Neodiprion lecontei: one gene and its partner. The protein of the gene in region 2 interacts with the protein of the main gene of each other region in a pairwise test. Links are inferred from orthologs where the notes say so. Each region holds a gene or a part of one and is shown on either strand. Other genes may lie near its edges. The genes, in order: transcriptional adapter 3-B and transcriptional adapter 2B.

What was found.
Region 1: the proteins of transcriptional adapter 2B (region 2) and transcriptional adapter 3-B interact in a two-hybrid assay, tested with the Drosophila melanogaster proteins (4 studies listed by BioGRID). The link is inferred for Neodiprion lecontei from reciprocal best matches to the Drosophila melanogaster genes Ada2b and Ada3.

What each region holds. Positions count from the first base shown.
Region 1 is NC_060266.1:16,330,530-16,346,305, reverse strand, and holds transcriptional adapter 3-B, read right to left. Parts: upstream 9,067-15,776; 5' UTR 8,665-9,066; coding exon 7,285-8,664; 3' UTR 6,714-7,284; downstream 1-6,713. Other genes in the region: uncharacterized protein LOC107218362, read left to right, coding at 1,540-1,597, 1,839-1,993, 2,075-2,303, 2,460-3,469, 3,601-3,902, 4,083-4,155.
Region 2 is NC_060263.1:6,641,367-6,657,161, forward strand, and holds transcriptional adapter 2B, read right to left. Parts: upstream 9,011-15,795; 5' UTR 8,759-9,010; coding exon 8,752-8,758; intron 8,654-8,751; coding exon 8,556-8,653; intron 8,510-8,555; exon of another isoform or gene 8,297-8,509; coding exon of another isoform or gene 8,267-8,296; intron 7,737-8,266; coding exon 7,677-7,736; intron 7,579-7,676; coding exon 7,437-7,578; intron 7,192-7,436; coding exon 6,974-7,191; intron 6,834-6,973; coding exon 6,604-6,833; intron 6,479-6,603; coding exon 6,247-6,478; intron 4,868-6,246; coding exon of another isoform or gene 4,828-4,867; coding exon 4,778-4,827; intron 4,302-4,777; coding exon 3,854-4,301; intron 3,755-3,853; coding exon 3,650-3,754; 3' UTR 1,457-3,649; downstream 1-1,456. Other genes in the region: zinc finger protein 2, read left to right, coding at 1-173; uncharacterized protein LOC107223641, read right to left, coding at 10,529-12,314, 12,487-12,735, 12,847-13,073, 13,179-13,323, 13,398-13,551, 14,378-14,551, 15,179-15,311, 15,615-15,740. UniProt on the Drosophila melanogaster protein: Component of several Gcn5-containing histone acetyltransferase complexes that regulate nucleosome organization; involved in acetylation of histone H3, particularly on Lys-10 (H3K9ac) and Lys-15 (H3K14ac).

The DNA of each region.
Region 1 (15,776 bases), on a different chromosome or scaffold from region 2:
AATTTTGTACTGTCGTCTATGGTCGAATAAAACATTGTGTCGAAAGTGATCACATTTGGTTCATTACATTATGAACAAGCGCGTGGTACCAAATCCTTCAAAGACCCCCAACAGCCTTATTGTTAGTAGTCCAGGAGCCGACCGCACCATATCTTCCCTCATCGAACATACGGCCAAAATGCATATGAAACGATGAGGAATATAATGGTCAATAGGCTGCCAGACTTTATAGACAATGGATCCTGTCCGGCGTGTCAAAAAAAATGTCACTTCCGGTCAGTTTTTTGGAGCTTATCTTCCCTCATCGAACATACGATTGAAACTAGTACCAATCGATCGGGGAGGTCGAGTACTTGAAGAAAAAACTGGGGTGCCAACCCCCACCCTGTCCGGGGGGGGGCGGGAGCCACCCCTAAGTGTAGTCGTAGGTAAAGTCGTTCGACTTTTGGGGGTGGCTGCCGCCCTTCCGGACAGGGTGGAGGGTGGCACCCCGGTTTTTTCAGGTTCGGGGAGGTTCAACCTTCAATTTAAAAAAAAAAAAATCGTATGTTCGATGTGGGAAGTTAAGGACCAAAAAAGCCTACACTTAAGGGTGGCTGCCGCCCCCCCGGACAGAGTGGGGGTTGGCACCCCGGTTTTTTCTTCAAGTACTCGACCTCCCCTATCGATTGGTACTAGTTTCAATCATATGTTCGATGAGGAAGATAACCTCGAAAAAACTGACCGGAAGTGACATTTTTTTGGACACTCCGGACAGGATCGATTGTCTATAAAGTCTGGCACCCTATTGACCACTATATTCCCCATCGATTCATATGCATTTTGGCCGTATGTTCGATGAGGGAAGATATGGTGCGGTCGGTTTCCCGACTAGTACGCACAGCCAAAGAATAATGTATGTATGTAATATACATACAGATACACTTTACAGAGAGAAACCTCACTTCAGCTGTTGGTTCTGACTCTTTCGATATATCTAGTAATTTTACGACCCACGATTTCGAATGAGCACCGTTGGCACTGCTGGCAACGCCAAAACTGTGGGTCGTAAAATTACTAGGAATATTGATGGAGTCAGAATCAATCTAGATGTCTGTACATTTGTCCTTGCCCTTCCCTTATCACACGACGTGCATAACAGGTTGAAAATAGTGGTCCTTTCCCGTTCCACCGGCCGCCAGGCAACGCGAACAGTTGACAGACTTCGTAGAAATTCGTTATTCTTCGCCCAAATAGGATAGGTGGCGCCACTCGTAAATCCGACTGAGATAGCATTTCTGTTTACTAATCGATCATCATTGTGGGAGAGTTTGTAGCTAATACTTTTATATTTTAGACTGGCGGTTGGGTTATGGGATTGGAATAATAGTGAAGGAATGAGAAAATGTGGGTGCTGTCAATATGATTTGACAATGCGTGTCGTTCGTGGTTTGACTGAATATCTGGTGTGGTGATTGAGATGACGGTGAATATGCACTGACGAAAACTAAGCAACATTGTTGACGGTGGACGGTATATAATGAGATAACGAAACGCAGAATGAGATACAGCGGAGTCCTCAGCTATGCGGTGCTCACGCTAAATCTGCATTTTACTGGTAGGAACCAGCTGTCAATGCTCCGATCACGCGCCAAACATTCTCCAATCCCGTTCACCATCACGCCCTGCCCTCTAAATCAACGTCCGTCGAATTCATTTGTCCTGCAATTTCTTTTTATCTTCCATGAGGCAATTGTTTTTTCCCACCTTCGCCGAATCCCCGACCATTTTACTAATTCGGTATGACAAAAGTTTCTTCTACTCGGTATATTCCTGACCGCAATTAATAAATCTTCCAGGTCAAGCTAGGGGAAGCGGTTCTTGCAAGGACGTACAGGGCCGATTCTTTGAGTCGGGATTCCACTACAGCCCTGGCCCGGATGCGTGCACTCTCTGCGTCTGCGACAATGGGAATCCAAAATGGTGCAAGGCGGTTCTCTGCTCCCAGCCACAGGTGATCAAACAATTAGTCAGAACTTTGTTGGACCTTGAGAAACAATTTTCCATTATCATTTATATATTGTTTCTCATATAGGACTGCAAATCTTTTCGTGTTGGCACCACTTGCTGCGAGTTTATCTGCATGGACGACACTCTCCCAGTCGGTGGTGGAGATGGAAACAGTGGAATCGGAGGCGGCTTGGGAGATGGCAACACGTCAAGCGACATGGGACTTCGTCTCGTCGCCAGCTGCATCACTGCCATATTGTCACTTTCTCTCATATTCTTTTTGATCCATCGACTTCGCCAGAGAAAAATTAGAGGTGAGATCAACAGATATCGTTACGCATTGAACATTTATATTTTTTCATCCTAATCCCATTACATGTTCAGATTAGTTCATTAGTTCACAATGTTGCACCAATAAAAATTTGTTTTACTTGTATGAAATACGATGGATAAATAATGGAATACTATAGTTTGTGTGGCAGGGAGGCAAAACCGGCAACTAACCGACGAGCAGAGAAGTCTTGGTAGTATGGGATACTTAGAAAGAGGTGGATTGTCGCACGGTGGACCAGCAGATGACATGTCATGCGGAGGTGGTTATCCGTTGTGGAAACCACCAGGTAATTATTTTCCACGCGGAGAAGCTCCACCACCATATGAAGAAGCAGTAGCAGCTGCGAGAGCAGAGCAAGCTTTGCTATCTGCAAGTCCACACGCGTTATCACCATTGAATTTCTCTGGCGCGTATTTGTCGGTGAATCACGGCACTCATCCTTCATCAGTCGCGACTGTAGCAAATAGCCAAATTGGCCTCTCAGTCACAACGCCAAATCTCTCAGACAGACATGGAGCATCTACGTCTCCGATGATACTGTCGATGAATAGGCCTTTGAGCAGCCCTAACACTCACTCGAATACCCATCAAGTAAATCAGGGCGAATCCATGACAGTTGGGGCCTATGCGAGTAGCTCTGTAACCACATTTAACATAGGACCTAACACTTACGAAAATCTCCCACCACCGCCAAGCATTATCACCAACCAAACTAACGATTTATCTCAGAGTAATATTTTACCTCTACCACCTTCCCACTCCACTATTCCAAAAGCCTATCACCAGCACACGACTCTACCTCGCCAGGGCGCTGGCGCCTTTACCATATCTGCAACATTGCCCACCTCGGGCACATCCAGCCATCGCACTATTCCCAGAACCCTGGCTACCAGTGGCAGTCTCAGATTGAGAAGAGAGTTTACTGCTCATCAGCCCGTTGCTCCCCTTTTCGATACCCCACCACGGAATGTTTCCCCTCAGAATACTCCACAATCTGCTCCACCGACTGCATCAACCAATGACAATTCTATTCATTCGGATGCATTTTATGATGATGTACTTGTTGGATTACCAACTGCTGCGCCGCAGGTTGAGGGGGAGCCGCCTACCCAACCAAGTCCCAATCTAACAAATTGTGACTTTAAGGTGAGATTTTATTCGAAAGAAACATGCTAGTATTAATCAGTGGTTGGTTCCAGTTAAGAGTTAGAAACTGCATTGAGAAAAGAACATCATGACGATTGTATGCATATTTAAATACTGGTATTCAATTTCAGCCTAAAATTCCTTCAACTACTGAAGTGAACCAAGATGGAAGCATCGAATCTGTGGCATGTGCTTGCAGCATGCAAGCTCTGCCGACATTGCACGACGACGCGGATGACTATCGCAGTGAATGTGAGAATTGCAAGAGTGCAAACGGTTCCCGATATTATCTGGACAACCAGGATGAATTAGTTACTTCTCCACACGAGACAATGACATTGCATCGTAGACCAGAGGAAACACCGCTAGGCACCGCACCCCAGTATTATCGTACTTCCTTGACACTGCCCACTAGTACCCGTCAGCGTACGAGGTGAGATAAACTTTACACAGAAAATTCTCCCTAGCAAATAACTTTACCTCAGAGGAGAATAATGAGCGGGATTTCTTTAATTTTTTTTTTGTTTATATTTTTACAAATTCATTCTAGGTAGAGAATTATTAATGTGCAGCAAAAAGCTGTTCATTGATAATAACAATTGCTATGTTCTAGGAGCACCGGAGCTCGTGAAAATTGGTTCAGCTCAATGCCTGAAAGCTCCACAGAGTCTTCAGATGAAGATTAAAATTTGAATTTAAAAACAAACAACAAAAAATCAACTAACAAAAACAAAAAAAAACTCATAGTTGTGCATCATATTAGGTATTTAGAAAAAAAAAAAAAAACTACGTACAAGAAGCAGCTTGAATACGCGAGTGCCAAAAGTATTATCCAATCTTTATTGTAATTAATAAATAACCACATACATACATAAATATCTATATCAATACCAAATATTATATCTTCAAAAACAGAAATTTTGATATTTTCACTCTAGCAATATAAATATATATATGTGTGTGTGTGTGTAAAAGTATACATATACGTATATGTATATTATATCTATTGTAGGGTTAGTTAATAACGAATCAAATCTGTAACTAAAATTTTCGGGCTGAAGACAGGAATAAACCGAACGAATGGACGACCATGCCGTAACATCGGTAATTATTGTTCGTTTATGGGCAGGTTTCTAAGATTAGATAATATATCTGTTAAAATACCCACATATAATTGGTAGATGGTGGAAATATTGTTCTATACACATAGTCTTCACAAATCAACTTACAAACCTAGTTAGTTTAATCAAAACATATTTGGCTTTGAGTGGTAATGATGAATACCTTATAGTTGTCGAAATATTCTACTCACAAAAAACATTTCTTATCACGATGCAACAACAAATTTGTATAAATGCAGTAGTAGTGTTGTTACCAATCAATATTTCTACCCATTTTATCTGTACTGCATGAATTCGTTACAAAAAACTGTGCCAAATAAGAAACAGGACTTGTAGAAAAGTAGAAAAAAAAAAATTGCCAAAACTAATGAAATGTTTTATTAACAAGGCATAAGTCAACAGTATTAATTAAAAGGCAGCATATACGTCAAATTATTATCATTTTCAAATTTTTACTAAAGACATTTACACTGTAGTATATTAACACGTGTTCAAGCATATATATATATATATATATATATATATATATATATATATAATAGCATATATATATATATATATGTATATAAAAGAATAGAAGGTATCTACAAACGCTCGTTTTTCAGACTAAATTATAATTCTCTCTAAAACGAACAAAAAAGAATCAAACATAAAATAAAATAGTTTTGTCAGGGCGGAATTTATTACAATTAGCTAGGTTGTTATTCAAATATACCAGGGACAATTTTTCGAATTTAAAAAAAAGCGGCAGCTCAAGTACGGATTATTAATTTTTATCCACACATATTTAATTTTCTACACTATTACACGTAGAATCTTTCGTCCTTCGTTTCTTTTTTCTTGTGATTGGAAATCAATTGTTAATCTAGTATTATTTATAATTAAAAATCGAAAGTTTTCATCACAATTCAAACTAAACTGTATAGGTAGGCGAAACTGTACCGTTCCAATTATATCGTGTTTAATCTGACTCACTCTGTTAAACATACAGTCATTTACATAAATATATACATTCATTGATGTAGAATCTTAACGATATGGGCTAAGAAAAAATAAGTGAACAAAGTACCTATGAAGAAAGAGCAAGGTCGATACGTGTCAGGTCGCTAAATAATAGAAAAGTTTCTCTATTCGACTTAGGCCCCCTGATATACATATAAAAGATAAACATTCCGGAAAAAAGGAAAAAACGAAGCAATTTACAACTAGATTTCAAAACATGAGTAATAAAATAAAGAGCAGCATCCAATATTTCTGAAACTAATTTGAAAAAGTTTTGAACAAAATATCCAAAGTGAAACTTGTATTTTCTATAGAATGTAGAAAAGTAAACGTACGTTATCTAAAAGTAAAAAAATTAAATAAATAAAAATAAACTAATATGTTCTGACTGTAACGGTTGCATGGGGCCCAAACCAAAAAGACAAACCATAAATAATCTTTATAAGTAAATTAAAGAGAAGATCAACTAGAGCGTTATTATAACAAATATTCAGGCATAACATATAATCATTCTGTAATAAAAATTGAATGAACAAATGATGAAGAAATACGAGTTGGCTCAAAAAACATGTTAGTGTTGGTACAATTAATAAGAACCATATAATATGTAGGTGAAATGAAACTTGGGAACGTGCAAAAAGAGAGAAGTAAAAAAATTATTCATGGAGAAGAATTCTGAAATGATGAAGGGTTTGAATAGTAATTTCGTGAGATTTTTTATTTTTTTTTTTTGTTAGAGAAAAATAATCACTCTTTCCAATTAGTTGCAGGTAACATTTTTCTGAATCATTCTGTACGTGTTATATCTCTTTACCGTGACTTATGATATAACTTGATTAATAAATGATAATAGTATGCGTAAACAAATAATATTACTCGCTCGAAACAAAGATATTTGAAGATACCTTTTGTTATTAAATTGTTACCACTTGCACCACAATTATGATTCAACTTGAATGGATTCATTATTCATTTAATTTATTTGTGATATTGTATAATTTTGTTGTCGTTGGATTAACTGTTTTTTTGTTTATATCTTGATACATATATATAATATATATAATATTATATATATATATATATATATATATATTGTATATATTATATACATACATATACATATATTTTTCTATTATTACGACTTGTTTACATTTTCACGATATTTCATTTGTTGAACATTCCCTATAATTATAATCATTATCATTGTTACGAATAGCATTATCGTTACTATTATTCCAGATGATACGTAAGATTGAAAATTCTCGAATATGTATTTAAAAATAATATATTAAAATATAGATTATATGTTAATACATCTTTCCCATTTCATTATTTTCCCCTGACGGTCAATTTATCCTGTTACTACATTCATAAATCACTCAATTGTATCAGGCACCACATAAAAAAGTAATCAAAAGAACAAATTAACTTAGATGTGTAACTGTATAAATTACTACCAGAATTATAATATTGTAATCTGTACAAGTAAATAGAGCAATGTAAGCTGTAAAGTAATTGTCACATCATTCATTTTAACATTGTAATCGTAACGAAAAGTACAATAATTCAAAATATTAAACATGATAAACATAAAAATATGACTCAAATGAGATTAACTAATCAGAACTGCTATTCTACAACGCAATGTTATGTCGCATATACGCATTGGCTTGTATGACGACCATTGAGAGATCAAGCCGTGTTATTTCTTGAGTTGATGACAGTGTCACTGCCGCTTGACAGTATATTCAAATGTTCAAGTAAGTTTTCACGCTCTCTCAGGCAGCTCCAAGCCTTCTCCTGTTCTTTTTTAGTCATAGACACTTTTCTCTGTTTAGCTAGTATCAATTTTTTGTAATGTTCAACGACTTCGTTGTCGACAATGCTTATTTTACGTTTCACAGCCTGTCGTTTGCTCTCCTCTTGCGCCAATTGAAGCAGTCGTTTCAACTGTGTCACATTATGATTGGACAAAGCGGACAGTTCTTGTTGGCATCGTTTTATTTCTGCAAGAATTTCATCATCTTGATTCTTTTTCGGAGTATCAGCCTCAAGTATACCTTGCTCTACCAGCTCCTTGTGCATCCTCAATTCCAAATTCATTGAATTTTGTATAGACAAGTCTCTAAGCACAGGAGGATCGCCATCCCTAAACAATTTATTATCCATATTATTATTAGCTACATATACATTCTCTTCCAACAGAGCTGAAACTAATCTTTGGGTCAAAGGTCCTGCGATGCTATTTCCCTTCTTATCAACCTTCGAAACAAGGAGCGAAACGTCGGACCGATTTTTCTTTTTATCCCTGTTTGGATTAGCCGCATCTTCCTCCTGCAATAAATCATTATGCGCCCACAGCAGACTATAATGACGACCGAGCGGCGGGATTTTCTTCAACTCGCTCTGATCGCTATGAGAAGCGACCAATTCCTCCAGCAGCTTTAAGTCCTCCGGCATGATATCGGTGCAGTAAGGATCGACCGAAGCCCAGAACTTATTGGGAGTATCGTTTTTGGGCAAAAGTAATTTAGGGAGATCAGATTTACTCCCATCGATTCTGTTCAATTCGTGAGGATTCGGGACAACTTGAGAAGCTAATCCCCCAGAAGTTTTTTGCTTAAACAGTTTGGCCGGAAGCGGAGACTGCGCCTTCGAGCTAAAGTCCTTGAGCTTGGATTTATCCTCGCGAATTTTTTTGTCAAGTGTCGACAGGCCTTTTACACTCTTTGACCTTTTGTCTCTACGTTCTTCCGCCGACGACAAGTTTGTTATCTCATCTTGCAGTAATCGGCATCGAACTACAACGGATGAAAGCAATGTTTCCAGCTCGAGTTGTAGCGTATCCAAATCTTCCATCCCGACACATTCCTCCGCCGAACGCTGCAGAATGCTACAGTACCTTGGCAAATGTTTTCCATTGTCAACCGTCTTTAGAACAGGCAGAGAAACTGCAGCCTCTGTGCTCTCCGAACTTGTGTCAGAGTTTACAGAAGACAGATGTCCGGATTTACCTCCCTCGCGCACCTTTATCAGCGCCTTCTTTGAACTCTGTTTACCTTTACCTGACATTACGGTTTCTCTCTGTCTTCTCTGTGGGTATGTTCAGTTAACGTTCGACCGTTATAAAAATACAACCAATAAGCTGGATTGCAGTAAGTTTAAGTTATCAGTAATTTTTGTGATTTTCACCGACTGTATTAGTTATTATTATTCACCGTAAGTGTCCAATAAGCAATCTTGGAGGTTAGGTTCTGTTTTTCCTTTGTGTCCACTTACTATGGAAAAGCGAACAAATCAGGTACGTACGAAAGGTCGTCTGATCTGACGATTAGTTTTATCCAAGGTACGTTTGAAATTATCATGCCAATCATGTACCCAATTGTTTAATGATATTTCACTATCAACACCATTTCGCAAACGATGTCACACAACCCACACAACCTAGGACACAAACTAACCTGTCATCTGACTTACCAAGTGCCGTCATTGGCGGGATAGCGGAAATCGCCATCTTGAGAGATGACAACTTCAAATCGAACTACTGCAACAAGTGTTTGTTACACATTTAAAACAATATCTTCCGTCAATAACAGAACTACTTATTAAGCAGTATTACACATGTGGAACCAATTCGCAATAAAATATTCGTAAGTATGTACGTAAGCAAGTATTCATAGTCCTTCCTTGAGGAACAAGGAACATAAATTTTTTACAAACAAATTGATCATTTGAATATTTTTTCAAAATTTTATTTCACAACTTTATTATATTATAAATATTACGATTTAAAAAAAAAATTTTTTTCTTAACAACAATTTTTACTTGTTTATATTCGTTTTTTTTAGAATTCTATTGTTTAAATAATTAGTTGCGAAATTATTTTTTATCTAAAAATCATAATGGACAGTCCTCCATGAAGTAAAAAAAAAAATTTTTTTTATCAACAATTCCATTGTTTATTAACTTATCAATTTTTAACTTTGTTATATTTTTTTTCTCAAACTTCTAAAAATTAAAAAAACACCCATATATAACAAAATATATAAAAACAATTTTTTCAATTTTTTATTTTAATACAAGCTTAGCCAAAAGCTGAAAAATTTGAAAAGCTTGTGAGAAAACTTGTGTAACGACCGAATACGGCGCTGTAACGAGTCACCGAATACATGCACAAGTCCAATCGCAGCTCTCGCGCTCGAGACTTGGCCCGTCTCTCCGTCGTCGCATACCACGCGTTACCCGTATCGCTATTATCAAACGTATTGGAATATTCAATTACGAGTAACGAAAAATGAATAAACCGTTTTCATTATTTTCTTCCTTATTTTTTTTTCTCTGCCAACAGGCCATTCCGTTCTGCGGCAACAAAATCATGATGTGTTCGGCATTTTACGTACGAATTTTCTTACGCATTTGTTCGTTAAGTACAATTATTGTACCGTATTCATCAGCTTCTTTGATCTATGAAGGAAAAAGCATAAGAGAGAGAGAGAGAGAGAGAGAGAGATTGATTGATTGATTCAACCTTTATTATGCCTTGGTAGTACCATGAGGCGAATTATGAAAGTACATAAAATTATTCAGTGTAAATCAGAAATAAGTTTTTCAAGGATATCAAAATAACAATAGTTGGTATAAGTATAAAAAAGAAATATAAAAAATATTCAATAATAGTAATAAAGTTGATATAATGGTAATAGAATTATTTAATAGTAATATACATCTACAAGAGGACACGAGATAAAGAGTATGAAATAATGTGCCGAAAATAAAAATAAAAATAAAAATAAAAATAAGGACGCAATTAAAATAAAGATGAATAAAGATCAAAGGATTGTGGATAGATACAATGTGATGATAGTTAAAATTAAAATTAAAATCAAAATTAAAATTAAAATTAAAATTAAAATTAAAATTAAAATTAAAATTAAAATAGCCAAAACGTTAAAATTTTGATTAAAAATAGCTAAACCGTAACCCTATCTATAGCAAAGAGGTAGTTGTGCAGTCGAACCTTTAGAATTGGAAGTGAGGGAGAAGTTGCTACTTCGGCAGGGAGAGAGTGCCAAAAATGCATGGCAGAAAGAAAAAATGAATCGCGATAGGTAGGCGTGCGGGGTAGAGGTAAGTGGAAATAATGAGTTTTTTGCTGTCGGGAAGTATGGTTCGTTTGATTTTGGAGAGAAGATAACTCTTTCAAATATGATGGTGAGTTGCCATGGATTATGTTAAATACCATGATACCTAGAATATAGAGGTGCAGAGAAAAAAATGGTGATTCAACGATAGATGAAAATAAGATGCATATGCCAAATGAAACATTGGGAGGGCGTGTAGAGACGAAAAGGCGGGTGTGATAATGAACGAGAGCGAGTGAAACAGCATTGTCTGTCTGTTGTCAAGAATTTGTGAAAAAATTCCAAAGATCGAGCGCGAATAATAGCTACATAAATGCGTTCTTTAACTGTATGGTTAACAAATAATGTATTGCTTGAAAAATAATTGAAAAAAAGTCGAATATATTAAACAGATTTCCACACACACAATTTCAACAAATGGACGAATGAATTGGCCAACTTTTAATTATAACTACATTTATTCCAGCAATAATTAAAGATGTGCATACGCGTAATTTATAATTGTATAAAAGCAGGTGGTCAAGAAATAAGATTATCGTGAGTGATAAAAAGAAAAACATTCTTTAAATTTGGTTTGACACGTTTGACACGTTTGCCACGCTCAACATGTTTGATCGTACATAATTGTTTACCTGCTCGCTAAATTATATTTTCTATAAAAATATAAATGAAGAAATTTTTGTTTCATTTGTAAGTGGAAGGGAGGGGGGAGAAAGAGAGTAATTAATGATTCGTTTATTATTTATTTATAATACTAATATTTATTTATTTTTATAATACTGGATTTGTTTGTAGTACTATAATAATTAATTGAATAAGTATCACATGTAGAGTATTGCATCCGTTTACGAAGCAAGATCCGAAATTGCACTTCTGTAATATTAAGCAACTGAATCTTTGCAAAAAGCGGCAGAGTGGCCGAGGAATACCGCGGTTTCACTCTGTAAGACGCATGCGTGCGAGCTTACATCTATGGGTTAGCATAACAGAGAGCTAAGCGGTGGAGCAGATAATACAGAGCATGCTTCGTTATCTGCGTCCATCGCTTACCCGCCGAGAATTTAGTTCACGCAACGGACACACAGATCCGACGGAACCGAGCTTCACCAGCCTGTCCCAGGCTCTTCGTTCCGTGGGCCCTCTCAGGTTTCTCTCTGTATAGAGCAAGATTCGGGCCAACGCCATCATAATCAAAATAACAACAAATGTCGCGACTTGGTGGGGATTCATCTGATTGTTAAAAGTCGCGGGGAGGGAGTTCGCCCAACGTGACGGCTCCAAACAGACGACTTTGTCGCAGGCACGTTAATGTAAGCAAGAATTGTGACGTCAACGTCGGATCGTTCTGCTTTCGTCAGGGATGAGTAGTTTTGAAAATAAGTTGTTTGTGTATTTGGCTTATGGCTAGCCCGCCTTTAGTTGGTAGGGTGGGTGCAGATTGCTGCCGCGGTTAATAGAACCCGTGTAACAAAACAAAAAACAATAACAATACGGATATAACATAAAGAGAACAGCGGTGTCGTCATAGTTCGAATTATCTAAACAGCTTGGGAAATCGGACAGTAATTTACGGTCAAGAAGCATTCGTAGTTGTTACAGAAGTCACGAGGCGAAAGGTGATAACAAAAAGGTTTCGCGTTAAAATGGACGCTCTAAGGGAACAGGTGATGATTAATCAGTTCGTTCTGGCCGCCGGGTGCGCCAGGGAACAGGCGAAACAGTTACTGCAGGCTGCTCACTGGCAGTTCGAGGTGAGCTCTACTTCCATTTTTCATTAATTATTTCTCGTCTCGGCCGCCGAGGCAAGCCACAGTAAGTAAACAAAACACGCACGACGACGACGACGACGATACGACGGAGTAGTGATAATAAAATGGCTGCTCTTCGTTTACAAGTTTATCTTGCGCACTTTCCCCGTATCTTTAAACAACAACTCGCGGTTATTATGCGGCTACCATTATCATTTCACCCGCATGTGATATAAATCGATAATCGGCAAAAACCCGGCTGAAATTCGCTGGTAAATGAACGTCTAATTTTACCACGGATTCTGCGATACTATTATGAATATGTTGTAGTTAGTAACGTTATCGTAACTATTCGTGCTGACGAAAAACCGTTATTTCGCGATTTTGGAACTGTTTGAAATTCAGTAAACCGTAATAAAACAAAAGACACTCATGTTTTGCAATCTTAGTTCCTTCAAAATCATCGTAAAAATAAGAAATAGTGATATTTTCGTTCAATGTTTCCTTACGGTAACGCTACTAACTTTAATGTCGTTATTTATGTACCATCTTTTTCTTTTCTATCACACATCCGCCGTTGAAGGTAAACACTAATAAACAACAATCGCTCGTTGCTCGAATCTTTTGTCACCAGGCAATAGGCCGATTTGTCATTTTAAGAGATCGGAACAGCAGGAAATTGGAACTCAGGTCGCGATGATTACGTACGCATTTCGTAACAACGCCAGTCGGGTCTCAGATTGAATAATGACCGGATTTCAACCAACTGATGATCGTTTCTGCTGTAGAACGGAAATAATTTATTCGTAACATCGCTACTCAGCTTTTCATGCCGCTGACCAGTCTCTCTGGCATGTCTGTTTACCATTATAGATTATATATTTTCGGGCAGACGGGTGACAATGGTCTGTGCCAAACCAGCCTAGTAAAAAATAACTCAACTTGGCAGGTGGCAAAATGCCATTTGCGATTATTTATACTTAGTCTATGCTAGTGTAGCATAATCGGAATGAATTCATTTCACTAGACGGCTTTCGGCATTTTTTGTCATTCACTCAAGTCTTTTTTTAATTCGTATCTATGTCAATTTTCGTTGTCAAATTTATTCTTTTATCTGTCCAGTCAATGACATTCTTTTATCAAACCGAAGTTATTAACGTTATCGTAACAATTCATGCTGGGTAAAAACTGTTATTTCATGACTTTGGAATTGTCTGAAATTCAATAAACTTTAATAAAACAAAACATACTAATATTTCGAAATCTTGGTTCCTTCAAACTCATTGTAAAATTAAGAAAATAGTGATTTTTTCCCCAATGTTTCGTTGCTAACTTCAGTCTCGTAGTGTTAGAAGATAGTCTTATTTTTAATTCGCTCCACCTTCTACTCAACCTTCCACCCCGACGTGAAATTAAATCTTCTAAGACTAGTAGCGAGTAACTTATTTCTCATAACTGAGTCAATTTTACCATAAAATTGTCAGTTTCAAATACCATAATATGTTATGTATTCCTATTGTCTGGTGATATTGTACAGACTGCTCTACTTAACTGCGGCAACAGTGATATTTGCTTCGTTACAAACATATCTTAGAACTTATAAGTGCAGTTATGTTAATGATTCAACACATGCATGAATGTTTTAAATTTTAGTCACCACATGTTACAATTTTGAAATAAAATGATTGTTTCTTGTAAAAACTGCAAACAGCTAGGGTTGAAAAAAAAAAATTAAACCTATACGCAATGTTGCTCATACATAGTAGAATAAGAATCTGAATTGCATCTGAGTAACATTTGATGATCCTGTATTTAAAAAGAAACAAGGAAATTTATACTTTACATCCAAATTAGGAAAGATTGTTTTTGTTTACAATTTAAAAGGTCACTCTTGTTATCAAGAGTGATAATATTTTTTGCATCCTGCATTAAAACATCGTTTTATGAAACAATGAATTGGCAAAATAATTATTAAGACTGTACGCAAGCCAATTGTCCTGCTTCCAATCAATTTCTCCGATGAAGTCTGTGGTGTAATTTGAACATCTATTAATTTTGTCATTTACCACCTATGGTAACTCAGATTCTAATTTTGTTGTAGCTAGATTACTGAGAATGTGCTCTTTATCCCAAAGGTTCATCATTATTTTACAGGTTATATAAGTTTGGAAAACGGATAACTGTGATAATCAAGTATCTTTACGATGTTTGTCAGTTCTTTTTTCTACATTTATTTTTTTTCTGAAATCAATCGTGAACCAAATATTTTGTGATTAGATACTAGTGAGGTTTGTAAAAGAAACATACTTGTAAAGAGTATTGCTGTTTGAAAATGCTCCAACATGCTGTAAATGATCATTAACAGCACACATAAAGCGAACCATACTGATTTTACAATCACAATCCGTTCAAAGTGATTCTTTGATAGTAAAATATTGATTTTTTACGATGTTGTGTAATTTGTGAAACATTTCGTAAGGTTATATGAAATAATCAGTGAGATTGTAATAACACGTAGAAAATATTAGAGATTAGTTTTTTGAAATCAGAACATTATCTTGTTCACACCTTCTTAGAGAAACGCATAATGCAGCTGAAACAATGTTTTTAAAACATGTATTTGCACAATATTCAGGTTATAAAAATTATAGACAGAAACTCTCTTAGTAAAAGTATCAGTAATTCATTTTCATTGCAATGAACACATGGTTAATTTTATGATCTGCTTTACAATTTATACTCTCTAAATTAAAAACTTTTTCACTCTGTTCACTTATTTTATATTATATATCAGCCAATATTAGCAACTAGTTTTCATGCAATAAACCTTTTTAATAAATCTTTGAAGTCACTTTTGCTTTACTTTTGCACAAAATATTATGCGCTTTCACCAATTCCCAATTTAACAGCATATATTTTTGTTAATTTTGCTTCAATTCTGTTTACAGACAGCGTTGAGTATATTTTTTCAAGAAGCTGCTATACCCTCGTGCGCTCAAGGACCAGGAACACATTTTGGACAGGTGAGAAATAGGATAGAAATAAATAAAACTCAAATACAGGATCAAAATATGTTTTATATTTGCCTTTCACACAGAGTACATATTTCCATTCAATTCTCATTTTCTTTTTTTACTTACTAATCTTTCAGATCACACCATGCAATACGCCAGCTACACCTCCAAATTTCCCAGATGCATTATTAGCATTTTCTAAAATGTCTGCCGGAGACAAAACGCCGTCTGGTAAGTTATAACTAATGAACTTGTTTTCTGGAGTGTCTGGTCTGATGTTT
Region 2 (15,795 bases):
GTCATCAACCCATTCCATCGGATAGTGATTTACTATTTGCTCAGCGTTTGAGAGAGAATGTAAAGATATTATTCACAGTTGTGATCGAAGATGAAACTGTTAAATCATTATTAACATCACAAACTGTTGATGAGGTAATATTACATGTTTTAAAGTTATCCAAAGAAAAGTAGGTAATACGATGGTTCAAAAAAATACCGATCAGACGTCATAGATTGCTTGAATTGTTCAGTACTTTCATACTTAACTGTTTTTTGTGATCCTCGTTTAACAAGCTTAGTTACGTGAGATCGTTATAGAACAACAATTTTCAACGAATCAATTTCTCTACCATTTCGAACCAAGGTGCACTTTTTAGTATGTTATAGACATCCGTGTAAAAATAAGTATGATAGTCGTGATGATTTTGGACAAATATAGTGATTTTAACTATCATTGCAAGCAATACCAAGTTGGAAACGATAAATGAAAATTGTTTCCTAAACATGACAGCAAGATTTTGCTAATAATTAACAATTTCTGAGATTTGCACCCACCACAAGTTATAAATTGGCATGGTACTCTATTTACGTAAAGTACAATAGCCAGCAACTCTTTAGTTCAGGAATATATTAGTAGTCACTCTGTACATTGCGTAAAGTAAAAATCTTTACATTTGTTTCAGAATACGAAAACTTCGTATTCTGTAATGCCATCGGTATTAAATTTATCTACGTTTATTGAGAGAATAATGAAATTTACGATAAACTCATAAATAGGCATGTCAGATTATCTAAAAGCCACACAAATACTCTAATAGAATGATTATAGGTTTTCATTATTTGAAGGCTTGTATTGAATTGTTTTTCTTTTTTTTGTTTTGTATTGAAACGTGATTGTAAGTAACAATAACAAGGTTAATTGTAACCGGAAAAAATGCGTGTGGAATTAAATAATATGGCAGTGGAAGCATTGATGTTAAAACAACACTAATTCTTCCTTCCCATTTCTTACTGAATTTTTGAAATCACTGTTATTTGTTCTTAATACGTTATTGGTTATTGGGATTTTTTGACCAAATTAATTATAGAAAGACATAAATTCAGTTATTAGGTGCTTTCGTATATTGAACTTGCGATTTGACATTAATTCATAAATCCACTTATTAGATTGTTACTTTTTGTAGTTATCTAATATTTAAAAAAATTTTTGAAAGGACAGAAAAAAAAATAAAGAAATTAGTATTAAGATGAATTCAAGCGACTAAAAATGAAGTAAAGTAAGATCAATGCTTACAGATAGAAGTATGTTTCGTTCAGGATTTGGGATAAATATGTATAATGGATTACAAAGGGAATTTGCAAATTTAGTCAGCTTAGTTAATTGATTGCCAGAACACAACAAAACCGATCAATTGAAGAAGATAGATTTCTATTTGGCGAAAGAGTAAAAACAGCTTTGATTTTTTCATGGGTAGTGCCTTCAATCTTTGTTACTTAAATCATGTAGTGATATAAAAGTCATCTCATAATACAAAAGACCTTAAACACATAACAACTACGCCGAGATGATCGGGCAACCCTTACCTTTGATCCCCAATTAAAGATAGACGGCTTTGGCAACTGGCAACTTTTCTCTACATATGATGTAACAATGTTATATTTCCACCATTAAACATTTTAATTTCATTAGTTATAACTTGTTTTGTACCTAACAGTTCCAGCTATTTTTTCTTAGATTTTAAATAAACTTGACTAATCATATAGATAGTTGAGACAATTGACCAAGATTTACCATTTGAATTACCCATCATGGATTGCTTGCTGATTAATTGTATAAGAATTGCTACTACTTTAAATGAGAATTATTCCGTTAATTAATCTGCAAGCTATGTGGTCTCATTATTACTATTTTTATTACCAATTGTTTTAAGATTGCACCTCATGTAATAATTATTTTTTAACAATAAAATGATGTTCAAATATTTTTATTAGCTTTTCCGCTACCAATCAGTTACGTTTAAATACCTAACTGTGTACAAACCCTCAACTTTTCAGGATAGGAATAGGATTTATTACAAATCGGTAAACTGGTAAAGAAAGTTCACAGTAAAGTTTAACTCCAGTTCACTTATGGTACCAAAACATTCCATTCTCATAGCTATAATCCGTTTTATAAGAGTTCATTGACATGGATGATAATTTGGGATATTTGGTAAGCGGAAAGTTAGGTGAATATTTGATTAGTTTTAAACTTCATTTCCCATGAATAGGTGTGAAATAAAATTAAGAAATTCATGTTGTTTTACAGTTTCAGAAAATCAGCAGCTTTTAATACTCCTACGTCCTTGTCACTCAATACAACTAGCTAGCTCAAATTTGTTTACGATTCAAGCATCTATACATACAGTATAATATAACTGTAATTCAAATATTCAGCAATTTGGTGGTGGAGGAACACCATGAGGCACCAGTGGCATGTTCACTCCAAGACACTTTTCTTGGCCATCAAGAGCTTTGGTTTTGTATCTATAAGTTTACACACTTCTCAATAGCGAGAGGAACAAAAAAAAAATTCGACAATTCACATTAACTAAGATTGAGAATATTTTTTTTCTTGCATTGGCTACACGTCGATAGTATGCAATACAATATTAATATTCACAATTAAATCCCACTCCTAAGTGTTTCGCGATACATAGTTAATTTCGTTATTGTAAATGAAAACAGTTTATTTATACACCTTATTTTGAACAGGTAGAAAGAAACCGAGGATTATCGATTCGTAAATTTTACAGATGAACAAGGCGAAACATAACTTGTCAAACAATAGAATTGAGCAAAAATTTCAGGGTAATAGAAGCGGAACCTAGGTATTCAATTATTTATAAATAAGTCGTCGACCGCATTCAGCGTAAGAGGACAGCTATACGTATAATAACGTAAAATATCAACCTACTTACATACATCTACTTACAATAGTACATTAATTATGAGATGAAATAATATCAGGTATTGCTCTTCAAAAATCTGGGCCAAAAATTTTCAATTTTATCAAAAACAAAGCATAATTCTCACACAATTAGACACACATAAACAAACAGATGTCTCCAGAGCAGTGTGATAACAACAGATGACAGTATTTTAGTATTGGAGCATTGAATATTGAGTAGTACTAAATTTAATCAATCTGACAATTCCTTCTCAAAATAAATATAAAGATCACAGTAATTGGTGAACACAATGTGTACGTTTCTTAAATTTAAGAATTATAAATGTGGCGGAATGTTACCTAAAGAGTAATTAAATCTCTTGCCAATACTTGACAATGAGATTAATGCAGCGCAAAATAGCAAGTTATAACTAGATCTATAGTTAAATGTCAAGTTTGCCAGCAATTAGTCGATACATTAATCTACTGCTAGTAAACGGTTTAATTTTCTTTATAACTATGACAGGAATCTTTGTTGTTAGATAAATCTATGAAAACTTGAACAATGCGACAGATTTGGCAGTATGATGAAAAAGGGTAAAATTCTTCCCACCTGTTCAATTAATATTCAAATAATAAGTTACAGTAAAATTATTTATTCCTAAGACTTGGCTTGCAATGAGCCTAAGGTGACTTAGAGATGAGGCGTCGCCTATAAATTTAATTGGTTCTGCGTTGATCAGTTCGCAGCAATCCAGCCATTGGATACCAGATAGTGAAGGATCTTGCTCTCCGGCTCAGACTGGGGTGCAACGCCTGATCTCCTATTGCCATTTAGATACTCCTGCGTACAAAGGGTACCTCAATGTTTAGCGATTGTTGTTGGCTGTGTTTACGTTTTTCTGAAAATTTATTTAATAAATATGGGAAGTGTTATACGTACTTGCAACAACAGGGTCTTTTGGGTAAGATACTGCGTTGGTTTCATATCTAGCTGGAGACACAAGGTCTTCTCTTGTTTGGTGAGAAGTTGAGCTGCCGCTTCCATCTCTACGTCCCTTGCATCGGACACTGGAAATCCCGTTGGAGAGACTTTGATGGCTGTAACAGTAGAGTTGTTGCCTTTCTCCAAAGTAGTTTTTGAGAAAGCAATTGTAGGATGGGTGGAATTGGTATGGCTATCTTGCACCGCCAACTGATTGACTGGAATCGTCGTCCGATTGGGACTGGCTTGATTGATTATGTAGTTGCTGCTGGCTGAGTCTGCCTTTGACGTGCATTTTTGGTCTGTTAAACCGCAGCTTTTTTCTTCTTCTCTGTAATCCACACGTACAATATGATTTCTCGATCTTACTGTATTGTATATTGAAGCTAATAGGAATAAATCTCGGCTAAAACAAATTTATTATTATTTATATATTAATTATATTTCAAATTTCTATTAGCTTCATAAGTAGTTTGTACAGGTATGTATGTACAAGGGGTTTTTGTGTTTTTAGTCTCACATACCTAAATTTTTTCTGTATCTGTAAGTCAGCTCAAATACAAAAAGTGAAAAATTAAAAGAAAAATATCGCCACAGCGTCAATAATCTTGCAGAGTTAGCAAATAATCACGAGGGCTATTTACTTATTCAGAAATCGAATGTGTTACAAAATTCATCGGATCTTCACATGAGATGAATCTATAGAAAAGTACGTTAGAGAAACAGGTGTGAATTTGTTTTCAAGAAATTTTTGCAACCCACTCATAATAAAAACAAAATATAATCATTTGGAAAGCGCACTTAGTTAACTGCAAACTTTGCACATAGAGCTTCGGAAAATTTTCATGTTTGAATTTGCTTCCAATCGTACATGGGACTCACCTTTTTTTTAACATTTGGCGGTGTGTTGGTGTGGACGGCCCACTGCTGCCCTAAGTGAAATGCAAACTGATACAATCTGTTCACAAACGCCTGGCAACACGCATCACAAATAATTTCATTAGTCAACAGTAAGCAAAAGCTAACACGTTATTTATTCATATTTGATGATTAGATCAATGTGAATCCGAATTTCGTGTAATTTTTTTGAATCATTTTGCTGACGCTGCAGTATAATTGTATTATGGAAAAATGCATAGGTATGTAATTTGAGATTTCTATCACCGTAGTTCATTTTATCTAAGAATTGCAAAAATTACAGCACGACCGTAATAAATTACAACAAACACAAGTAAAAGTATTTTGCAGTCGACACATCAAAATTCATATGTGAATTTCTGACGTGTAGGCACATATTACATAGGTCAATGTAAAACATGTAAGTTTGAGATAACAATGACACTAAAACTATGCCCTGAAAATGGAAGAAAATGTTGATGACTCATTGAATTATGTCTCAAGGTTATTGTCGATCTGAACAAATGTTATGGATTCAGGTTACAATAGGTGCAAAACATTTAGGTACGTAAGTGAAGCGTATAGCTTATTATACAAATGCAACATACATGCGGCGTGCATGAAACAATATCAAAGGGACCGATATGGTATTACATAGATCTAATTTTTTGCTAGTAGGGGTGTTTTTCCAAACACATATATTGAAAATTGCAAGGACCGAGTGTATTGAACATCAAAAAAGAGAAATGTCTGACTAAATGAACTTTTCTCAAGGATTTGCTTTGCTAAATTTTAGCCACTACGTATAAAAGTACATGAATAAATTATAAGGATAATTATCGTGAATGATGCTCGAGTTGCTTTATTAAGATAAAAGGATAATTATTACGAGTAATGCTGGAGTTGCTTTATTAATAAAAAATTTAAAATACGACAGCTGTTGGTGAAATTTATATCGTATATTATCACATCATAGAAAGTTTGGAAAGTTGCCAAAACAGGCAATTCTGGAAAGAATTAAATAAACAATACATTCATTCAAAACATATAAGATTTTGCAGTAGTCTTTTTTCTTCTTCGAAGAACATAATATATGGGATATTGCTGAAAAAGAGAGTTTGATAAAAGAGCGAATGGAAATGAAATTTTCCAAAGATTTGTCATTCGGATAAGCGAAATGCCAATGTCTAGGTAAAGGTGTAAGCACCTTCTGTCAATCTGGTTTGATTCTGTATCTTTGAAGAGGAAAATAAATAGCGACAGAAGTATTTACTCTGTTCGACTTTCAAGGATCGGCCAGTGACTGAGAAATGATGTGACTAATGTTATTCAATGATAAACTTCCACACACTGAGTTTAGTATACAGTTACAAACATGTAATATTACAAGTTCTACAATTTTTACAATACCGAAAAGAGAGTAACAAGAAATAAAAATCCAAACGAGAACTTACAGATTTCTTTTCAGTCCAATGATCCGTCGTTTCTGTTTGACCTTGAGTCTGTGCCATGACTTGTTCGAAATGGGCACATTCTTCATGCCTGGTGATACCGTTCTCTCTGTAACGACTAAGCTCGGTTAGCCGTAGTCGGAGCTCTCGTTCCCTTTCCAAATTAGTCAAGAATTGTTCGTGCTCCTGCGCTGTGTAGAATTGGGCAAACGTTCGCATTCTATCCCGAAATTCTCTGTATGTCAAATAATGAGCAACAATGGAAATGAAAGACAAGCATAAATTCAAGGACATTTAATTTAACAGCAAATATAACAATTACCTGAGTGATCATAAATTGTGGGTTAATTCGTTTGTTACCTGTCTTCTTTGCTCTGTTTTTTCTTGATCGCTCTATCTTTTCTTGTCGAAGCAAAGAACGAAGAGACAAGTTGATAATCTCTAACGACACGTTTTCTTCTTGCTCGTTCACGTAAGTTATTTGTGTACATGTCAACTTGGGCTAGCTTTAGCGCAATGTCAAGGTCATCGTCTTCGGCAGGAGTGAGAAACAACGAAGAAACCAAAGACTCTGCCTCGTGTTTATAATCCTGTAGAAAAGAAAGAAGTTATTCATGTAACGAAGCTGTTGAAGATGAACGAAATTTTTTTTCCATATGCTGAACATACGATATATGGAAGATTTGTAGCGCGTTGCTAGAAATTGAGATACTCGCTGTAAATAACACACCCTTTCAAAATCATCCCGCTGTGGCATATAGCCGAGCTGAGCTGCTTCTTCTGGGGTGATATCTAACGGTGGCAGTCGCGAGGTCAAGTCTGGCGATAGTGGCCCATAATCAGAGCTAGTTTGGTCCGTCAGGTTTGGTCTATAACTTTCAGTCGAAGGCCATGTCTGTTTACCGATATTTCCATCAAGATATCTGGCGATGTATTCCTCTTTAGCCTCTGCATAAAGAAAAAAAAAAACAATCGCATGAATAAGTAGTATGTTATGTAGCAATGATTTAAAAGTGTTTGCAGGATATTTTCACTCAGTTCAAAGTTCCGCAGCAATCGCTGAGCTGATATTAATTATCATATTTTAAACAGGGGGGGCTTGGTATACGTTGTAGGTAAAAGTAATGAATTTTGCAAGAAAAGAAACCTGAATCTAAGAAATAAATTCAGCTACAAAAATAACGCTCTTTTACCATCAGGTGTTCTTGTTTCAATATGTTTACTTATATCCTCCCAATTTCCAAAACCAAACTGTTCAATCGCATCGAGAAGTCTGAGTTGTTCTCTCGCTGTCCAACTTCCTCTCCCGCTAAATATGCTAATTGTACCAGAATCCTGAAAAATAAACAGAATTAAATATAACGAGACATTATTACAAAACACCATGATAAAATATGCATGTAAAAATTTGTTGAGCTCAAAGAAATGCTTACCATAAATTGATAAGAATGGTCATTTTTGTGCTGTCCTATTTCAGCACCAGCAGAAAAACACTGTAAATGAAATCACTTTCATTGTGTGACAGTGTGTATGCTGAATTTTAATTGAAGTAAAGCAAAATTTTTCATCTACAAGAAGATAACAACAAATCTGCAGGATAAGTTACCACGTAGACTGTATACAAAGATTTAGGAACAAATGAAAAAGGCAAAACTGTTGTGCACGTAAGTTCTGTACAACATAATTGCTTTGCAAAAGATAATCAGGCTGAAAAGATGCGGTGAGAATCACATATCCAGAGATTTAACGCATTGGCGAGCACAACATTACAGCAAGCATTTATGATTAAACTGAAAATAATTTTCATTCTAGATGAATATCGGATTACATATTAAGAAAAACCATAGTTCACCGATTTTTGTTTCTCAACAGTAACGATATTTCCGATTGAGTAAATTATCCTAGTAAAATGTGTTATTTTGCAAAGAGAATAAGGAAGTTGTCAAGGTAAGAAGATTTGCTATCCAAACTAAATATCTTGAGAAATCGTGGATCCGTAACGAAGCGTAAATTAATTACACACATGTAGCGGCGTTGCGAATTTCCCGCTCATCGCTTGTTGCGATGTCGCAAATACAACGGTGACGAGCGAAATTATCGAAGCGCGTCGTCTTTCAAGGCCTGAGTCAAGGGTGGGGAAAGAGGGAGAGAGAAATAAAAATATTTGCCGTTAGCAGGAGGCAAAATCTGGCGAAAAGTTTGAAGGGGAGGTGGGCAGTCGGTCGCGAGGTCACATGACTCGACTCCCGAGCATCAGGGCTGAGGGCCCCCCAATCCCCATTCGTTTCGCCCCTGGGCCACTTACGACTTACCTGTAAGCACAGATCAAAGTCGGCACATTCCACGCATTTAACACGCAACCCAGCGATGTCCTCCTGGCAATATGTGCAATTGTACTTAGCGTAGAGATCTGAGAACAATATTTAGTCATTAATACGAACCGAGCTCGACTCAGTTCGGTTGGAATCGATCGAAAATGCAATCCTTACAACGAAGGGACCTACGTACCCGCCATTATTGTTCTATGGCGTTTATTTCCAGAACGATCGCTAGTGACGTCACCACATCCTAAGGTCAACCGAAAATAACCATAAACTATTACAGCGAATCACGCTCATTTTTTAAAACAATATCAAATCGAGTACACGATGTATAGTTGAAAGACACTTCGCTCATCCGTATTTATTTTTCGAACAAAAACCACCCGAAATATACTACCTGATTGAAAAAAAATGTTTACGAGTGTAGCGTCGTTTCGGAAATGCGCATGCGCTACGCTAACGCCCCTCGTTGCATCGCTCAGGAACGTACTATGTATGTATGGTACAAAACGCCTAGCTGCCAGCAACAATTTATTCCACAATTGCCAACCTGACCAATCCTATATTCGCACGATTCAAACGTCCGTTTTCGCCCCGACGCTTCTCGGAAAATGTCATAATTATCACCCTACGAACACGCGAGAGAAAAGGTTCAACGTTTACTTCGATTAAGAGTGAGTATTCTTATTAGTTCCAAGTTTTCAAAAAAGTTTATACATTCGTACTAATCACGTTGCGTTGATTTCGCGACAAAAGAAATTTCGTACTTCAGTTGTTGCTCAAAAGCGCAGCGCGACATAAAACGTCCCTGTTTTTTTATTAACTATTTTCTAATTTAAAGTATAATCCAGTATAATATTCATCGAAATGTCAATAGTCACAAGTTGTACGAGTAAAACTTCCGAGATTTCGTTTTTGCGATTTGTTTCGCTTGTCAAAATCTACCCCAAGTCGTATCCGAGCACATCATTAGGACGCTTGGACTTGCTGCGAAAGTCCAGCTCCTGTTCGGGCCCACGAAGATTCGAAGATACCCCCAAGTTTAAAGCGTTTAAGGAAAAGCAGGCAAAAATGCAGGTTCGATGTTAGCCTCCTCTCATTAGTTACAATAATTTGACTGTTACCATCACTTTAACCATTTGATCTTGAATTGTTTTTGTAGCAGGATAAGACTTGTAACTTTTGGGAAAATTAAAAGCAATTCATTGGTTGTTAACTGCCTTTCTTAATATTTTCAGTGTGACGACGGATATCCGATACATTTGAAAGGTGGTGTTTTAGATAAAATATTGTACCATGTTACTGTAGGTGGTGTTATTATAGGCCTTGCTCAAGGCTTTTGGTTTATTTATTGTTGTGCAACGAAGAAAGCCGTGGATTGAATTTTGTTAATCGTCGTTTGCAATTTGAATTGTGTAAAAGCAGTTTATCACTAATATTTATTGATGTTATTAACATGTTAACAACAGTTTTTAAAAGAAATAGATACAGTTATCTTTGAGAATGAATACACGTTTAAAGTTAAATGTCTTTACTTTTTGTAACACAATGATACACAACATTTCATTTCTTATATACATTTTCCACGATATATACCGTATGTACGATTATTCAGCTTACTTACTAAAGAATTTAGGAGCTCATTTTTAAGGCACTTTGAAAGTATTTGAATAAAAGAACTTCGTTTGTTTCAACTTTTATAACATATTTGATAATTTGGTGTAAACGACGGTGAAAAATATTCTGAGAAAAAATGAAACTTACAGACCATTCAAAGTTTGCTGATTCCATTTTTGATTCGGAAAAGTAGCATCAGAGCTACTCAACTGGTATTCAGGTTGAAATATAAGCAATGGTTCAAATTGTAAACTTTGGTATCACAGAAACATATTTACATATTTTTCTTGGCGCATTGCAATTCACTGGAAACAGTCTGTATTCACTAGTTATATATTATCATGGTATCAAGTATTCAAAACTTTGTTTTCATTCTGCTCCGTCTTTTGATTTTCCACATCAGGATATTTCTCTTCTATCATGGCCCTGCGTTGTGCTTTAAATTCTGTCTTTTCTGTTTTCTCCGCAACTTCCACATTCTCCGCAAGTATTTCAATTGAATCTGCATTCGAGGAAGCAGAGGATTGCCAAACTTGTGCAGTTTCTGAATCATCATTACCCGCTATTCTTGATTTAAGCTTCTTGTTCATGTCAGGCTGTAAATTCACAGTTTTTGGATTCTTTACCGACTCATCGTTTGGCACATCATTATTCTTCAATTCATGCTGAGTTTGAATTTCAAGTGTCAATTTAGCTGCTCTTTCTTTTCTACGTGCCACCAAGTCTTTTAACGCTTCACTGAATAACATCAAAGTCTCTGAAATTGGTCTGTTTATGTAATCAGCGGATATCTGATCAAACCGATCATCTTCATCTGAAGATAATTCATTCTTTAGCTCCTTGAACTGATCAATAATTTGTTTCAAATTTTCTCTCGCTCCTTTCACCGCTTTAATATCCTGTGTTTCGACAATATATTTATCCATTTCAACAATATTTTCTTCTAAAGATGCTGCTCCAATTTCTTCGGTGTACTCTGTTGAATAGTCGCTTAATTCATCATTGGACCATTTCTTCAGAGACACTGGATCTTCAGAAGCTAAATCCTTTTCAAATTCTTTGAATTGGTTAATTATATTTCTGATACTCTCCTTGACATGAATGACGTTTTCTTTGTGGACTTTTGTCCTCTCCATTGAAATTGCGTTCTTTTCTTTAGACTCAAGTTTCGATACTGGCTTCATTTTTTGCGACACTGAAGGTAGATTACGTTTTGGCATTTTTACATCATTCTTATCATATTCTTGGATCTCTTCTAATTCGTTGTCGCTGGAGCTTTCTTTCTTAGACTTAGCTTCGCCCATCTTCTTCTTGATTAATTTTTTCATCGATTTCTTTAAACTACCTGATTTTTGCTGGTCCATTTTACCACCACTTGCAACTTGCTCGTGCGATGCTTCTTCTTCGATACGCGCATCGCATTCACCAGAATTGCTTCTTTCTACCATAAAGACTTCTTCAGTCGTCTCTGAATCATCATCTAGCTCAATACTGTTTTCAGTTTTCTGCAAATAGTTGTAGTTTTCCGACCCTGCACCATCAGATGTGTCTATTATCTCCATCGATTCACTTTTACTTTTCTCTTCTACTTCCACATTAATCTCATCCGCATTTTCAGTGCTCGGTGTGGAATAATCTACAATATCATTTAAAGTTACGTCTGACTTGTCAGTAATAATTACTACATTTTCATGCGGCAACAAATCACTTGATATTTGCTCCAACGGTTTTCCAATAGCCTCTAATGACGCTTCGATGTCTTCGAATATAAATCCTATATTATCCAGATCTTGACGAGTACCATCAGAATTCAGAGCAACGTTTTTGGCATCATCTTCAAAGTTTGTTAATCCATCATTCAGATCTTTCCTAACTCTAGCTTTTATCGGATCGTATTTAATATTTGCTTTTCGCTTCATTATAAAAATAGTGGGTTTCGTTTTTATCTTTATCGGCGGTATACCATTGTAGTTTAACGTGATATGAGAAAATCCGTCGACCGAGTCTAATATATCGTGAGTTTTCATGTACGGCTTTATGTTTGGCGAATATTTACTTTTAGCTTCCATTAATAAATGCGTGAATTGCAGCATTTCAGGACTATCAATTGTTATATTTTCTTGTTTGGAATATCTGAAAGGTAAAGAATCGTTCGAGAGAATCTCAAAATAGTAAGATTTTCATCATTCATCATTAGCAGCCCATCGTTTTAAAAATATCTCAGTCAGGAAGTCGCGAGTAAATGAATGACTTGTCGGCACGGATACAAGTGAAAATTATTTTGAAAAAAGGGAGTATCACTTACATCCAGTTTTTGTTAGTCTGCGTAAACCTAGAGACTCCAGTCTGTGCAGTTAGGACATCTATGTGCACGTGTACCGGTTCAATGGCATCTTTCTCTAATCGATGCAATCTGGTGATAGCCAAACCTCCAGGATAGTTGGAACCTGCCACGCAGAGCAGGAACATGGAGAATATGGCATTCAAAATTAGATGACCGAGAACAGCCAGTGCGAAAAATCCGTTCCACGATGATTTTGCTCTGTTCTCCCATCTAGTAGAAAATAAAAAACAAAAATTACGGTTTTGGCGACGAACAGAATGACTTTTCCTGGAACGAGTTTTGCTGGTTTGCTGATAAAATATGTACAAGTGCGAAACTCACATCCTGTGACAAGCTGCCGCTGCTCCAATGTTCAGAAGCGGGAAGACGTATATAACGAATCGTAATTCTTTGTGCGGTAGAAAAGAGAAGAGTAGGACGAAAAAAATTCCGGGAATAGTTAGAGCGCGCACTCTCCTGTCCCACATCATTCCCAGTGGTATGAAAAGGTACGAGAAAGCCAGGCCGCGAGGCAAAGCAGAATAAAAGTACCAAAGAAATGGTGACGTCTACATTCTGGTGTTAAGGAGGAAGAAACATTTGACTTGAAAGTAAATCGTTCTATTTGCTCGTCGATTAAGTGAAACAGTTTCAGTGTTATTTATAAAGGATACACCCCACTGACTACTTTTGTTGAGAATCGTGTTAAAGTAGAAGACTTCACCCTCGGGCCACAAAGGACGACTCCAAAAAATCGAATCTATGATCACGGTGATTCCCAGAAATAAAATGCCCGAGGGTATCGATATTTTGAGCAATCTGAAACCAATACAGTTAATAAAATATGACCAGATTTGAGGCGTGATGATGGATAGTATTCTGTTTCAAAGTACCTCGGTATCGTAAGTTTCGTACTGGCTAAGTCATGGATGAGAAATAGTCCTAATAGCATAGCTAATTCGGCTCTGAATATAATGATGGCTGCCGCTGATGAGCAGATAAACGTTACATGGTCTTGCCTGAGCCAACCATAGAGTGCGAGCAGAACTAGAAAATGAAATTTCAGCTCAATGATTATTTTGATCAACACGCTACTGCGACTAAGAGAGAATAATAATTGCAGTGATCGGAAAATTGGGGGGACAGGCTGATGATTATGCTTATTTAAAAAAGCTGCGGAGTGAAAGTGTAGACGAATCATTTTTCTTAAAATAAATAAATACCTCGACGAATACGAAATTAGCCATACCTTATTTCTTTTCTAGCTACTATTAGACCTTGATGCTACTTAATGCGTTCAATTTATGTATTTTGAGTTTTATCTGCAACATAAATATTATCACACGTTTGAATAAGTAAGATCAATTGACGTTACTTATGATAATATCAGCATTTTTTCAGTGGCATCAGAGTCAAATAATATGAAACTTTTACTAAAGATAAGAGCAATCGGCAAATGCTAGTCGACGATATACACAGGCATAAAGCTTACTTTCTTCATCAAAGGAGCGCCTTTTGAAATAGGCCATTCGAGTTCCACCCTTTGATTTCTAACGAACATGCAATCGGGAAAACTGTCTTTGAATTCATTCAAATATACATGTACAAGTGAACAATCTTCCGAACAAACCTTCATGTCGAATTTACATTATCACAGGACTGTGTCGATTGTACGTAGAATTTTTTTATTTTTTTTATTTAACGAAACGCAATTTTTAGCTCACACGCGTAACGTGAGACTGCTTAGACAATGACAACAAATAAACATTGACACCGACCTCTGTATCGACGTACAACACATTCAAACGTTAATTTCTGAAGACGACCCAAAGTGGGAGGTAACGAAATGACTAGCTTTTAGTCCTTTATTCACCTAGAGGCATGGCCATGATGTTTGGCAAAGGACGGCTCAGGTAATACATGAAGTGGTACTGCGTTATGGTGATTGCAACAAACCATTTGACAAACTGGAGGCCGAATATTTGCTGTAACGCTTGTCTGTACAGTCGTAGCGTGGCTATTACCATCAGGCCCAGTACAGCTCTCACTGGAAATGAAAAAGAATTTAGATGAGTTCCTTTTTTCGAAGTAATTAAAACGAAAAGGTATAAAGTTTTCGGAAAAAACGTTACCAACAGAGGTTTTATATTTATCTGAAATTCCAACCGATTTTAAGTTTTCACTCATACTCGGTTGTGAAAAATACAAACGCAAGTCGATGCAATTTTTAGCTATAAGAATTAAACTACCGCTATTCATATTAGTCCGAGAACTTATCAGAACTTAGCAGTGGCGACAATTTTATTTTTTGATCTCGATTGAAACTTTAGGTATGTAATTTTATTATGTGGTTGAAATCTGTAACGTTTACATAGGGAAACACTATATCTATGATATGACTACGTTTCGCTTTATTATGGTTTAGTGTGAAATTCGAATATTCTTAAATTTAAGTAAAAATTTTTGCCAAAGATTTATCGCAGCGTTAACATTGCGAATTTCCATCCCATATTTTATTCCCGTTCCACTTTCTTTGCGCATAGGATCATTAAATTACGAACATGTCGTTTAGACTGAATAATCACCCTGAGAAGATTCTTTTTCAAAATTCATCTATATTTCTACCAAAAAATAACTAACAAATAAACATGCGTCAAGATAAATAACAGCTCACCGACATATTGGGAGAAGAATTTGCTGAGATTGAGGTAATCAACAGCTGCAACAAAGGGCGTCGCAATACAGGAGATCATGATTGGACCCAGAAATGTTCTTGGCACAACTCCAGGAAACTCACGATGATCGTACTAAATTCAAGGAAAAATAGATGCATACGTATCATCAGACGGCAGTTGGTAGAGGAGAGAGGAATTATTTCAGAATTCGTACACAGCTTTTGGCGAGGCTTTTCCCAGAGATTGCCAGGCGATTTCCATCGATCAACGATCGGCGTTGTTATGGTAGAAAATTAAAGAGGTAAATACGACAAGCGTTACACTAACGACTAGTCTGAGAAAAGCTTATCGAATCGCCATGGTAGTCGAGTCAGCTATTTTAGACCTGTTGTTTGAGTAACCACAGCGTATTTTTGTGGTAAAATTTGTACTCACTTCTGTCAGGTTAAAACCGTGGTAGAGAATATCATGCATCGCCTGCAGGTTGAAACTCTCTTCAACTTTGGTGAAGGGGCAGTAAAAAAGGTGGATACTCGCCACGAGTATTACTATGCGATCCATTATTGAGTTTTCTGTTTTTTCTACCTCGGCTACATTCGTCAACGATTATTCCATT